Oryzias latipes: one gene and its partners. The protein of the gene in region 1 purifies or fractionates together with the protein of each later gene. This does not show direct contact. Links are inferred from orthologs where the notes say so. Each region holds a gene or a part of one and is shown on either strand. Other genes may lie near its edges.

Region 1 (4,231 bases):
TTCATGGGAGGCGAGCTTCTAACAAAAAGGCTTCATCCATAAATAGATTTATTTGATTTGCTAAATAATTACAAGCTGTCATAAGATTGTTTTAGCACATTTAAAGTAACAATTTATTGCGATTTTCGCTGTCTTTTGCTATATGCGGATTGCACAGCTTGATATCGCGATAACGAGAAATTTGCCATTTATCGTGAAGGCCTAGATGGAACAGTCAACAGTATCCTTTAGTGGGATTGGTCTTTAAATCACAAAAATAAACAACTGTAGCCAAATCACTGCCTTAGTGAAAAACATTTTTTCATCGAAAGTCTTTTAGATAAACAGACTTCAACATAAACCCACTAGGGTTCAATCCAAATTCTTCCCCTACCCCTCCAGCTTCTCTCTTTCCCTCCAATTGTAGGGGCATTTGGGGGTAGGGGTGTTAGTTTTTGGAATGGAAAACCTTCACTGCGCGGAGGGATACGGAGCCCTCCAACGCAAAGGTGTTCCGCATGTTCTGTGCCGCAAAAGAGAAACGTATCTCTGCAAGTGGGTGTGCCTTGAAGCACAGAAGTTTACACGTAAATGTAAGTAAATACTTTTTGTTTTAGCATGGCTTTTTAATGTTCTAAAACCCACGTTATTTACTTCTGATCGCCACCCGCTAACGTGGCTGACCGACGACGATTGATGACCTCATCGAGTCAGAGTGACGTCTAAATGACTATTTTTATATGACACTCCATTTGGAGGGCTAACTGTAGGTGTAGGGAGAAGTAGAAGTGGGGGAAGAACTTGGATTTGGTCTAGGTATTGTAAATATGAAGTCTGAACATCTAGGACACTTTTAAAACCCTAAAAGAACTGCAGAAATGTAAACTCTTTCTCTTAGTCTGTTTCAACACAACAAACATCTTTAGCATTAATGTTAAACTTCTTGAAAACGGTGACAAAGGTTGCTGCGTACACTACTCCACACTAAAATTTGAATCACCAAACTAGCTAGCTGTACTTCCACGTTCCATTTTAATTTATGTTAGCCCGCCACTAACAGCTCACTTCCCTCATCATTTTTCACTGCCATGTTACTTTCCCCTCAAGTTCCACAATTTGTTTCCACCAAAACATCCCCGCCTAATAGAACTGGACTAAGTGACCCCCCACCCCCACCCCGGATGTCAAATAGGAAGTACCTGCTCGAACGTGTGTAAACCCCGCCTCTAATGATTGAAATGTTTAATTGACAGACTCTCCTGAGCCTGCTTTCAGTGGCAGAGATGTGGACTAAGATAAAAGCTTAATCCTGATTGGCGACAGGAGTTGCCATAGAAGCGTCGACTCCTACAGACGCAGGCTCATCACCGTTTACTTAGGTGGTCTGGCTCCAACATGGGGATGAGTGTACTGCAGATCTAACAGCGACTGATGGATTCATTTTGCTGGAGCTGAAAGTAAGGCGTTTTTTTTTTCTTTCTACGGGTGACGTCAGACTCGCTCAGTCCAGTTCTCTTATACAGACAATGACATCACCACCCACCTTTCCATCAATTAAGAATCAAACGATCTTGATAGATTTATAAATAAGATACTTCTCCATTCCCTGCTAGTTTATAAAAATAAAACATTTTTTGAAGTTTTTCAAGGTTAAGATCTTCAATTTCTAAAAATATTTATCATGCCCTCAAGTAAATTCTGAGTTTACCTCATTTGTAATTGGTTAAAAGTATGAAGACTCCTCTCAAAATTGGGTGCATGTCTTTATTTTAAAAAAATTAATTCAGGTTGGTAGGTAGGTGGGTGGACTTTTAAGTTTACCATGCCCCCCCCCCCCCCCCCTTTTTAAGTTTAACAACTGCAATGTATGAGTAAACTATGTTGCGTGTACTTTAATAGCAAAACATTACCAAGCGTTGTATTATTAACAAGTAGAAGTTCTCGACGGCGGAGTTACACCTAAAACCTGACCAAAAACTCAATGGTTCCGTTAAGTAGAAGTCAAATCAAATGCCAATTTTTAAACGTCAGCAAAGAGAGACGCGACAAATACAAGCGGGTTTTCGGAAATTACCTTTCAGCAAATTTGAATTTAGACTCACATGACGGTAGCAGCCAGATGTTTTCGCAGAGTACGGTTCCTGAGAGGCGGACTTTTTACTTTCAGATTTCCCAGAGGAAATCAATGGATCCCGTCAAAACGAGACGTATTCATAAAAGTTGATAGATTTAATCAATCTGTATATGCCAGTTAACTCCACACAATCAGTAACTAGAGAACTACGACGAGCGTAACACAGTAACTAGTTACTAGTTAGCGTTAGCAGGCGAGGTAGCACAGTTTCATGTAAGCTAACCTTCTGTTAGCGAGCGGGAGGTTTAGCAAATTCAAACATGATAAACTCATAAAAGTCCGCCAGAGCGCTCGAAAAAAATATTTATTAAAAGTCGATTACTTTTAATGGGTTTCTTAAGTTCTATTGAACTGGGCCTGTAGGGGGACGGGGGTTAATGTTAGCCATTGGCGACAAAGCAGCGATGAGTGGCTTTGTTCTACTAGCGGACCGGCTAGCATTGACGCAAAGATGGAGTGATAACTCACCGGGTACCCAGGCCCAGGCATTGGAGATCGGTACATGTGGTTCTGACCAGCCGAAGATGGACCCATTCTTCCAGTGGGAGTCCCGGGTCCCATGCCTGGTCCAGCACCGGGTACAGGTTGTCCAGGTCCAACAGCTCCACCACCACCAGTCGGTGCAGACTGAAACCCCCCTCTGGACGCCATCTCCTCACTAGATGTCGCCTCCGGTGGAGCAAAGGAACTAACGCGAGAGCAACTGAGGCGTTCACTTTGCGATAGCGCCCTCTACTGTTCTCTTTTGACACTGCACGATTGCCCACATTAAGAGACAAAGGATAATTGTGGGGTATGAAGGCGTAATATAGGCTATTTCTTAAAAAAAACATTTAGTATGTTCCTTTATAATATTTTAGTATTTTTCGTGAAGTTTTTTTGTTTTGTTTTTCGTGCTATTTTTTTTAAATACAAGAGCAAAAAACAACAAACAGGCTGGGCAGCTACTCATGAAAACTACAAGAAAAACTATAAAAGTATAGTTCATGTAGTTTAAAATATGTATTAATATATATCAATATATACATGTATATGTATTAATATTATTCATATATAGTTTAAAATATATATTAAAAACACGAAAAAATCTGTCTGGTCTGTAGAAAATAAAACAATTAAAATAAAAAAAGAAAGAACATTTTAATTAGCTGGAGTAATACAGTCCTGACAAGTCCTAACAACCAGCATTCAATTTACATGATTATATGCACAAGAATAAAGTCAACGGGTAGGCCAACCATATTGGAGTAATTTAGGACGCTATTAAATTGTCTTCTTTCTTTTCATGTGAATTCACTAATCTGTTCTATTGCCTTCTATATGTCTTTCATTTATCAAAACAGAATACATTGTTTTTCAATTTTCTCTTATCGAACAAAATAAAACTTAGAGCAAAACAAAATGCCCCAAAACATTATTAACTTTTAAAGAACACATTTAAAAATAAAAGTTTTCATTTTAATTTAGGCTACAGTACAAAATCAATTGGTTCAACAGTGGATTGCTGATATTTTTCATTTTTCATAATATATGACTGTTTTGCAAATGAGAAAATCATTTGATTTTTATTAATGTAACTATTCATATTTTTGTATCATATCCTTTAAAAAAACAATCATGTATGTTTTTAACTAACTTCTATTTGTGTACATATTTGCAGGTTATTTCTGAATGTTTTTAGAAGGTTTTATAAAATAGAAATCTTGATGATGACGTTTTCAGCTACAGGATTGTTTCTTTCCATCATTTTGCTAAGTAACATGTGACACTTTTTGTCTCTACAAGTCCAGAACTTGACTATGTTGAGATAAACACAATATCTGGAGTAGAAAATATTTTCTTTTCAACAACACAACACCTGGTATTTTGTGATGCCTGTTTGTTTGGGCTTTCTGTTTTCTGCTAGTATATACGAGAATCAGAGTAAACCTAATTTCATGGGTCTTTACTTCTTTTGTACTGCAGAAAGAAAAATGACATCAAACAACCTTGTGTAAGGACAACACAAAAAACGATGTGCATTTTTGCTTTTGGGTGAAGTTGTGGAATAACATGGAGGAATGATTAAGAATATTACACAATTAAAATAAATCCAGTTAGAATATGAAAAGCCCATTG
Region 2 (3,977 bases), on another chromosome or scaffold:
CAGGGTCATATTTACGTAGCTCTGGACATGTTAGAAAACATCTTCCCTCAAAATAATCATTTGTGGCCATGAATTTGTATTTTGTGTGCACAAATTAGCATTTTGAAGCCACATTTTGGTAATTCATGGCCACAAATCAGCATTTTCTAAACATTTGTTGTGGGCACAAAGTAGCATTAATAGGAAAAAGGTTAGTACACAAGTTTGAAGGTAGCATTTTGTGTGTACAAATAAGCATTTTATTACTATTTTTTGCACACAAATTAGCATTTGCACAAATGTACAAACTGGCAAATTGTAGTCGGACAGTAGCGTTTTGTGGCCACAAATTAGCCTTCCGTTATAACAACTTAGCATTTTATGAGAACAAATTAGTTTTGTGCAAACAAATTAGCATTTCATTAGCATTTTGTGGGCACGAAAAAGGATTTTATGGGCAATGTATGCATTTGGTTTGCACCAAATTTGTATTTTGTGCATACAAGTTTGCTGTGTACACAAAATTAGTATTTAGTGCACACAAATTAGAATTTTTTGGACACAAATGAGTATTTTGAGCAAACAAATTGGCATTAAATTGGCATTTGGTGGTCACATATTAGCATTCTGTATGAACATGTTCTTATCTTCTCAAAATTCGTATTTTGTGTGCACAAGTTGCAATTTATTAGCATTTTGTGCCCACAAATGAGAATTTGTGGGCATAAACTGCTACTTTGTGTGCACAAATTCGCACTTTGTGGACACAAATAGTATTTTGTCTTCACAATTTGTGGACACAAATTTATATTTTGTGGGCACAAGTTGGTATTTTTACAACACTCGGTGGGCGTAAATGAGTAGGCCTAGTTTGTGTGCGCAAATGAGCATTTATTACACACAAATTAACATTTTGTGTTTACAAAATAACATCATGATGTACGCACATCTACATGCACAAATTGGTGTTGTGTGCACAAATTTCTAATTAGCTAATCCGAGGCCACAAATTATTAATTTGAGGGAACCATTGGTCTTTTTTGTGCCATGTACAGGGCTTCGTACATATTTTATTATTTCCTGAAACGTTCAAAACTATCCCACGCACTTCGAACACACTATAACTTACATTATCGGTACATGACTGAGCACAAAACCTCAAGATTACAGAAAACGAGGAGGTCCAAGTATCGCGAGATTTATCCCTCTGGGAGGATCGGGGCTTGAAGTTTCAGATGCATCGGTAGATGAATCATAACGGGATCAAGATGTCTGGACGATCAGGCCGCGCTGAGACCCGAAGTCGGGCCAAAGACGACATCAAAAAGGTCCTGGCGGCCATCGAGAAAGTGCGCAAATGGTATGTAAACTGCGCGGCGCAAAAAGGGCATGAAAATCGAGACCGCGGCGCGATATCTTGCTGCGTAGCTCAACAAACTTCAGTCGGGAAAGTTGGATGATTGACAAGGCTTTCGACCAACCAGCGCGCCCGTTTGACAGAGGAGGCGGGGCTAGTTGAGTTTTTCCGCCGACAGCTGTCAATATGGCTCCAGCAGCTTCACATGCGGCGGCTTGAGAAGTCGGCGAGCCTCCTGAGAGCTGCATTGCTGTGGAAATCAGACACTAACGCGTTACATTGAATTTCCTCCATTCTGCTGTGCACGGAGAAGTAGAGGGTTTTGATCAGATATTAGCTCCGCTGCACCGGACTATGAAAACACGCGTGACTAATAAATGCGTTCATTTCTCTATTATTATTACGACGCCCTGAAATCTAGCAGCTGCTAGGAGATTTCCCCATGATCCAACGTACATTTCTCCTCAGGGAGAAGAAATGGGTGACGGTTGGAGACACGTCCCTGCGCATATTCAAGTGGGTTCCAGTCACTGAAACGAAACAGGTGTGAGCCTCAGTCAATAAAACACACAGAGACCTGTGTCACGACCTGCATCCTCCTGATGGGTTTCATCCTCTTTCCAGATCTTTCGGACCAAATCTACGGGTGGAGACGTTAGGGGACTGAAGGATGTGGTTCTGGAAAACACCAACTCTTTGCTGGATTTCACAGGTAGCCTGAGGATTCCTAAAGAACATTTTCTTTATCATTCATATCTTGGATCAATTGGGTTTGATTTAACCAGATCAAAGTGATCCTCCATTCCAAGGGTTTCATGATTGTTCCAAACGTCTGCTCTTAGATGACAACAGCAATCAAAGCTTCATGTCAGACGTTTATCAACCAAAAATGGACAACAGCAGCAGCAACTCCAGCTCCCAGCAGGTCAGCCCCCCGCATACCTTCAGCCTCCGAGCGGAGGACTCCCAGCCGCCCATGCTGGGCCAGGAGAGTGTGGATGGTATGTAAATAAAACCATGTCCAGAACTGTCATTAAAATCCTGTTTTTGGTGTTTCTAACATGTTCTTGTTGCATTTTTCTGATGATGGCCATGTATAAACAATTATAGCTTAAAACTGCATTTCTGAGTATTTTTTTATTCAAACTGTGAATCAGGAGCAGATAAAAAAAAAAAAAGTGGTGGAGGATAAAGCTCCCTGCTCTGCTCCATTTCGATGCATCCACAATCATATCCATGTTCGCCTTTGTTCTCCTTGTCCAAGCTGGCTGGATGCTCCAATGTTGCTCACCAGTTTCACCTGTAATGTTTTGTTGGGGTTGTAGGGGGCTGTAAGCTACTGGGAGTGAGTGTAAACAAAGGAGATGATGGGAAATTACTCTGCGCCAGTGGTCCCGCCCACAACTCAGAAGAATTCCTAATGAACTGCTGCTGCTCTGCAGAAACTCTCCTAAGAAACAATACAAGTTTTTTTTTTTGTGTGTGTGGCTAAAAATAGCATAATAATAATTAAAAGACCACTGGGAACACTGAAAATAGATCAGAAGATGACTTTAAATGAATAAAAACAAAATCTCTTCCTAACTTAATGACACAGTGTCTTCTCTCTCTTGATGCAGAACCAGTCCATTTGGGACAGGAAGGTGCAGATGAGCCACCTACTCTTATTAAAGAGGACCCTCTCTCATCTGGAGCCATCAAACGGGGAGCTTCAGATATACAGGTTTCTCTTCGACAGCTTCCAAGACAAACTCAAGCACATCTTCATGAAATACAGTGGTCCCCTTAGTATATTGCGCTTGGAATAAAAGAGTGTAATTCTGCGTGTTGTTCTTTCTAACAGCGTATCGTGTTCTGCCCCCTCATTGGCTCTTGACAACGGTCAATCAATCTCCTCCATGCACTATCTCCTAAGCAGTCTGTTTGAAAAATGGGCACAAATCTTCAATTGTGATCAGATGTTTGCTTTCCGTCTATGATCCTTTACATACTTTTCTGGGAAGGTTTGAACTTTGAGAGTTTAAGCAAGAGAAAAAAACTGGGAAAATGTTCATTTCTGTCTGAGAAAATAGTATAAAGTGTAAAATAAAGATAAAGTCCCACTATCTGTCACACACCTAGGTGTGGGAAATTTGTTTTCCGCATTTGACCCATCCCCTGGGGGAGCGGTGAGCTGCCGACGAGCCGCGCTCGGGTGGTCCAAGCCAACCCCTTAATGTTGAGTGTCAAGCAGGGAGGCATTGGGTCCCATTTTTAAAGTCTTTGGTATAGTAAAGTGGTATAGTAGGCATTCCAGCCTTGAAACATCTGTAATGCTACTCTGTGGATTTCATCTATCGCAGCGATAAACGAGGGGACACTGTATCCCATTTCACGTCGAGTTAGTTATGTCCTGATAAGTTTTGAGGTGTAAATAGAAGCTGACATGTCTAACTTGTACTCTTGTCCAGCAGGAGGACCTACCGGTAGATGAATCGGGGGCACCGCCTTTGAAGAGGATTTGCAAAGGGGAAAATGCAGCGCTGAGATAGCTTTTGTACCACCTTTTTGTCCGTAATGCATAAGAAACCTGCTTGGATGTTGGGAAATTAACAACATTTTCAGAATTATGATGGGTTTCTTTTTACATGTTTATGCAAGT
Region 3 (4,055 bases), on another chromosome or scaffold:
GTCAAAGTTTGACCAAGCAGGGACTTGGTAGTGACGAATGGATGGTGTCCTCTCGAATTCACAGAAGTGCCAACCATTGAAAAAAAGCTCATGGAGCTGCAGAAATGTATAATTGTGGTTTACGTCCAGCAGGAATTCTGTGATTTATCAGAATGGAGCTGTGAAAGAAAAAGTCTTGGGCAAGATTTGCACCACTGACATTTCACACCCAGCCTCTTCCAACTGTGGCAGATATAGTAAACAGTGGGGAAAGAAGAAGAAGAAGCCCCTCCCTGCTTGCCCAGTGTGAACTTAGTATTTTACCCTTTCATGGGTCAATTATGAAACGCATCCTCAGTGATAAACGAGGCAACTCTGGTTGGTCCAAATATGATGGACATGTTTTGTCAGTACTGACAGCCTCGGGTCACAAGCGTAACTTCACTATATGTCACAGTGTGACAGTCATGATAGTTTCAACCAGAACCCAACATGGCTAAGCTAAACGTGGATAGCAACCGCACATTTTAAATTATGTTAAATGAAAAAAAGTCTACCAAAAAAAAAATCATTGAAAATAATAAACATTTAGCAGAAATGGTGTTTTGGTGGTGATGGCCTCAAAGTGTTTTCATACCCTCCCTTCACGACAGGGGTTTTCAGGAGTGGCACAAGAAGGGCAACACAAGATTTAAAGATCTGTTTGTGGACAACACCCTGGATTCATTTGAGCGGCTAAGCCGAACATTTGGTAGATACCTGTTAGGCAGTATCTTCTCTCTCTCGCTGGAGACCGGTTTGGATTTGAAAGTGTGTAAACAGACCAGACGACACCGTGTGGCTGCATGAAGAGCTCAGATGTTTATGGATCATATATCTAAGAGCAACAGAATTTCGTTGTCACAAGTTTCTTGTGTAACAATGATAATAAAGGCTTTCTGATTCTGAACTTCCATTAGTTTGAATCAGAAAGCCTCCCTCTAATTCCATGTTGGTGTTTCCGGCCCTTTGATGTCTCTGCGGTAAAGCTGCTTTGTTCTTTTTGTGTAAAATACCAACAAAAATGACAAAGAGTCAAACTTTTTCTCTTTTTATGGCGATTTTTTTTACAAGTGAGTGGGTAAAAACAGAACAGCTGTGTTCCTGCCGCGGCGGACACCCTGTACCGGCTCTGGGGGCAGACCTGGGGGGCAGAGCGGAGGCGGCTGCGGCTTCTTTGTTCCGCCGCTCAGCAGGATCTGATCTGAGCTCAGCGCGCAGCCGCAGCCGCCCCCCCCCTCTTCCCCCGGAGCCGCGCAGGCGCACTGGCCTCTCTGTGCGCTCTACTGTTTGCATTGTGTCTGAACTGCCGGCGAGCTTTAAAAATATTTTAGCAGCGCGGAAATGTCGGGCAGGTCGGTCCGAGCGGAGACCCGGAGCAGGGCCAAAGATGACATCAAGAGGGTCATGGCCGCCATCGAGAAAGTACGAAAATGGTGAGTAAACGCCGGGAAAGGAGCGCTTCGTTACCCGGGAGCAGAAAGGCTCTCTTGTTGGGGGAGGAGAGGGAAGAAGCGAGACGGAGACGGATGAAATTGAAAGAAAACGACGTTTTCTGGACGGCAGATCCCGCCGCGGCTCAGGTGCAGCGGTCCGCACCGGCGTACCGGTCTTCGCCGGTCGGAGGCGGGCTTCGGCGGGAACCGGTTCGTCGCATAGCCGCTGTTTTTCCGCCGATTTTTAACGGCTAGGGCTGAACCCAGAAGAAGCCATTTCGATGCAGTCACATGAAGCCATTGCTGCTCGCTGCGGAGCCGGGAGCGCGAGCGGAGCGGCGCCGGCCAAACGAACACCCGGCGCGGACGGAGGGACCGTTCGATGACGCTCCGGAGTCCGGGCTCTTCGGCCCGCGAGGAGTTTTAAGGCAGCGCTCGGAGTCGCCCTTCGGGTCCGACGGAGCAGCGCTCGGTCGGTGGGGGTTGGGAGAGGGAAGTCCGCCGAGATGCATGGCTGAACGCGCAGCCAGCGGCGCCGAGCGACCGGTTCGCCGCGGAAAATCACCCTTTAACCGCCTTCAGCTTCTCCGCCGCACATATACGGTTATCACCCGGACACGAGGAGCGTGGATCCAGCCGCGTGACCCCGCCGGGGGGCGGTATTTTTTTCAATTTCTGCCTGTCTGGGTGGATTAATCAAACGTCTCCAGGTCAAAGTCAGAAGTTTATTTTTTTCGATTAAAGTTAAGAAAATAAAACGGAATAAACAAACCGGAACCAGAAACTTTAGGCGGGTAAACAAAACAGTTTCAGTCAGTTATTCCCCCAAATTTAAAAAAAGTTAAACATTTTGTTTGTAAATTGCAACAATTCATTCCTAATAAAAAATATTTTTAAAACACATTTTAACTTCTGTTTAGTTTTATTAACATCAGTTTAAGGATTAAACATTTGTTTCAGTTTACATTTTTTTCTTATATATGAGAAATTTTAATACCAAAATTGTTTATTTAGATAGAGGGATTTTACCTTAACACCTAAATGTAGCTTTTTTAAAGGTTTAAGTAGTGATTTAGAAAAACAAGGGAAATAATCGAATCATACTGATCAATAATCAATATATTGATCATTTAGTGACATTATTTTTATAACTTTTTTGTTGGTTTTTATAAATTATAGAAAAATATTTTTTTCCAACACACACTTCATATTCATTTATGAATAATAAAGCTGTTTAAGATTTTTGTATATATACATCTGATCGGTAACTAATCAATAATATAATTAATGTATTTTGTAAAATATAAAAGTAATAAAATCAGTTTGAAATCTTAAAATAAGATTTTTAAAGAGGAGAAAATAGCATTTTTCACATAAATCCCTTTTAACATATATATTTAAAGGATTTATTATTGATATAATTAAGGGGAAAAAATCTTCTTTTGATGTGATTTTTGGTTTTTTAATGAAAGGCGCTTCTGTCAGGATGATGAGGTTTTCCCCTTAAAGTCAGAGATGCTTCCTGTCCTGATGGTTTCCTCTCTTCAGGGAGAAGAAGTGGGTGACGGTGGGAGACACGTCCCTCCGCATCTACAAGTGGGTCCCGGTGACGGAGCCCAAATCTGAGGACGTGAGTCCGCCTCTGACACCTGTCAGCCGGGGTTTCTCTTCAAAATGGATGATTCTTATTTTCCGTTTTCAGAAAAACAAAAACAAGAAAAAGGGCAAAGATGAGAAGTACGGCTCAGAGGTGACGACCCCGGAGAACAGCTCGTCTCCGGGGATGATGGACATGCACGGTGAGGCCCCACCCCCCCACCTGAGGTCACAGCTGGACATGACAACAGGTCGTTCTCTGATGAATGTAAATAAAGGCTGAGCGTGCTTCTCCTTCAGACGACAACAGCAACCAGAGCTCCATCGCAGACTCGTCCCCAGTGAAGCAGGAAAACAGCTGTAGCACAAGCCCCGCCCCCGAGAACAACGCCGCCACGCTCCGTGAGAACAGCGAGACCAAGAGCGAGCAGAGCCCGGACAGCAAGAGAGGTCAGAGGTCAAATGCAAACAGCAGCTGGTTGGAGCCAGCGACCCCTCGGCGCAGCTGTAGCCTCAGCGCCGCCCTCAGGGAATTCAACCGTCAACCGTGTTTTCCAGACGGGCTCTGATTGAGAGCACAGAGAGGAAATGAAGTCAGACAGTCTGAGCCAATCAGAAAGGCTCTGTGTGAAGCCCCGCCCTGATGCGTTGTGAAAACGGCGCCCTCATCATGGCCGATCTTCAGAAAGACCAATTAAGATTTAATTGAAGCAAAACTGAACGAATCCAATACTTTGACGGAATAAAAGACAAACCTTTATCCCAATTTGTCACAGAATTCCTTAAATACGACCAATTCAATTTATAAACCCTAAAATTACAACAATAGTTGTCCTGATGGGCTTCAATGTGACGGAGAACCTTTACATCTCGTTACAAGTTGCAGTTCCTTCATTTCACCACAGGGTGTCAGTAAAGCACCACAAAAGGGACTGCAGTTTGATCCAAGCTGTGACCTCTGACCCACAGGTAAGACCACGCCCTCGTCAGAGACCTCAGAGAGAG

The links.
Region 2: the proteins of smarcd1 (region 1) and bcl7b purify together in Homo sapiens (affinity purification with mass spectrometry; 4 studies listed by BioGRID and IntAct, counting the BioPlex papers as one, with this or other methods). This does not show direct contact. The link is inferred for Oryzias latipes from reciprocal best matches to the Homo sapiens genes SMARCD1 and BCL7B.
Region 3: the proteins of smarcd1 (region 1) and bcl7a purify together in Homo sapiens (affinity purification with mass spectrometry; 5 studies listed by BioGRID and IntAct, counting the BioPlex papers as one, with this or other methods). This does not show direct contact. The link is inferred for Oryzias latipes from reciprocal best matches to the Homo sapiens genes SMARCD1 and BCL7A.

Annotation. Positions count from the first base shown.
Region 1 is NC_019863.2:13,904,112-13,908,342, forward strand, and holds the start of smarcd1 (SWI/SNF-related matrix-associated actin-dependent regulator of chromatin subfamily D member 1), read right to left. Parts: upstream 2,801-4,231; 5' UTR 2,765-2,800; coding exon 2,582-2,764; intron 1-2,581. UniProt on the Homo sapiens protein: Involved in transcriptional activation and repression of select genes by chromatin remodeling (alteration of DNA-nucleosome topology).
Region 2 is NC_019871.2:22,450,707-22,454,683, forward strand, and holds the start of bcl7b (B-cell CLL/lymphoma 7 protein family member B), read left to right. Parts: upstream 1-1,177; 5' UTR 1,178-1,226; coding exon 1,227-1,339; intron 1,340-1,804; coding exon 1,805-1,880; intron 1,881-1,960; coding exon 1,961-2,048; intron 2,049-2,178; coding exon 2,179-2,337; intron 2,338-2,955; coding exon 2,956-3,059; intron 3,060-3,786; coding exon 3,787-3,867; 3' UTR 3,868-3,977. UniProt on the Homo sapiens protein: Positive regulator of apoptosis. Plays a role in the Wnt signaling pathway, negatively regulating the expression of Wnt signaling components CTNNB1 and HMGA1.
Region 3 is NC_019870.2:1,211,988-1,216,042, reverse strand, and holds the start of bcl7a (B-cell CLL/lymphoma 7 protein family member A), read left to right. Parts: upstream 1-1,255; 5' UTR 1,256-1,362; coding exon 1,363-1,454; intron 1,455-3,002; coding exon 3,003-3,253; intron 3,254-3,350; coding exon 3,351-3,500; intron 3,501-4,019; coding exon 4,020-4,055.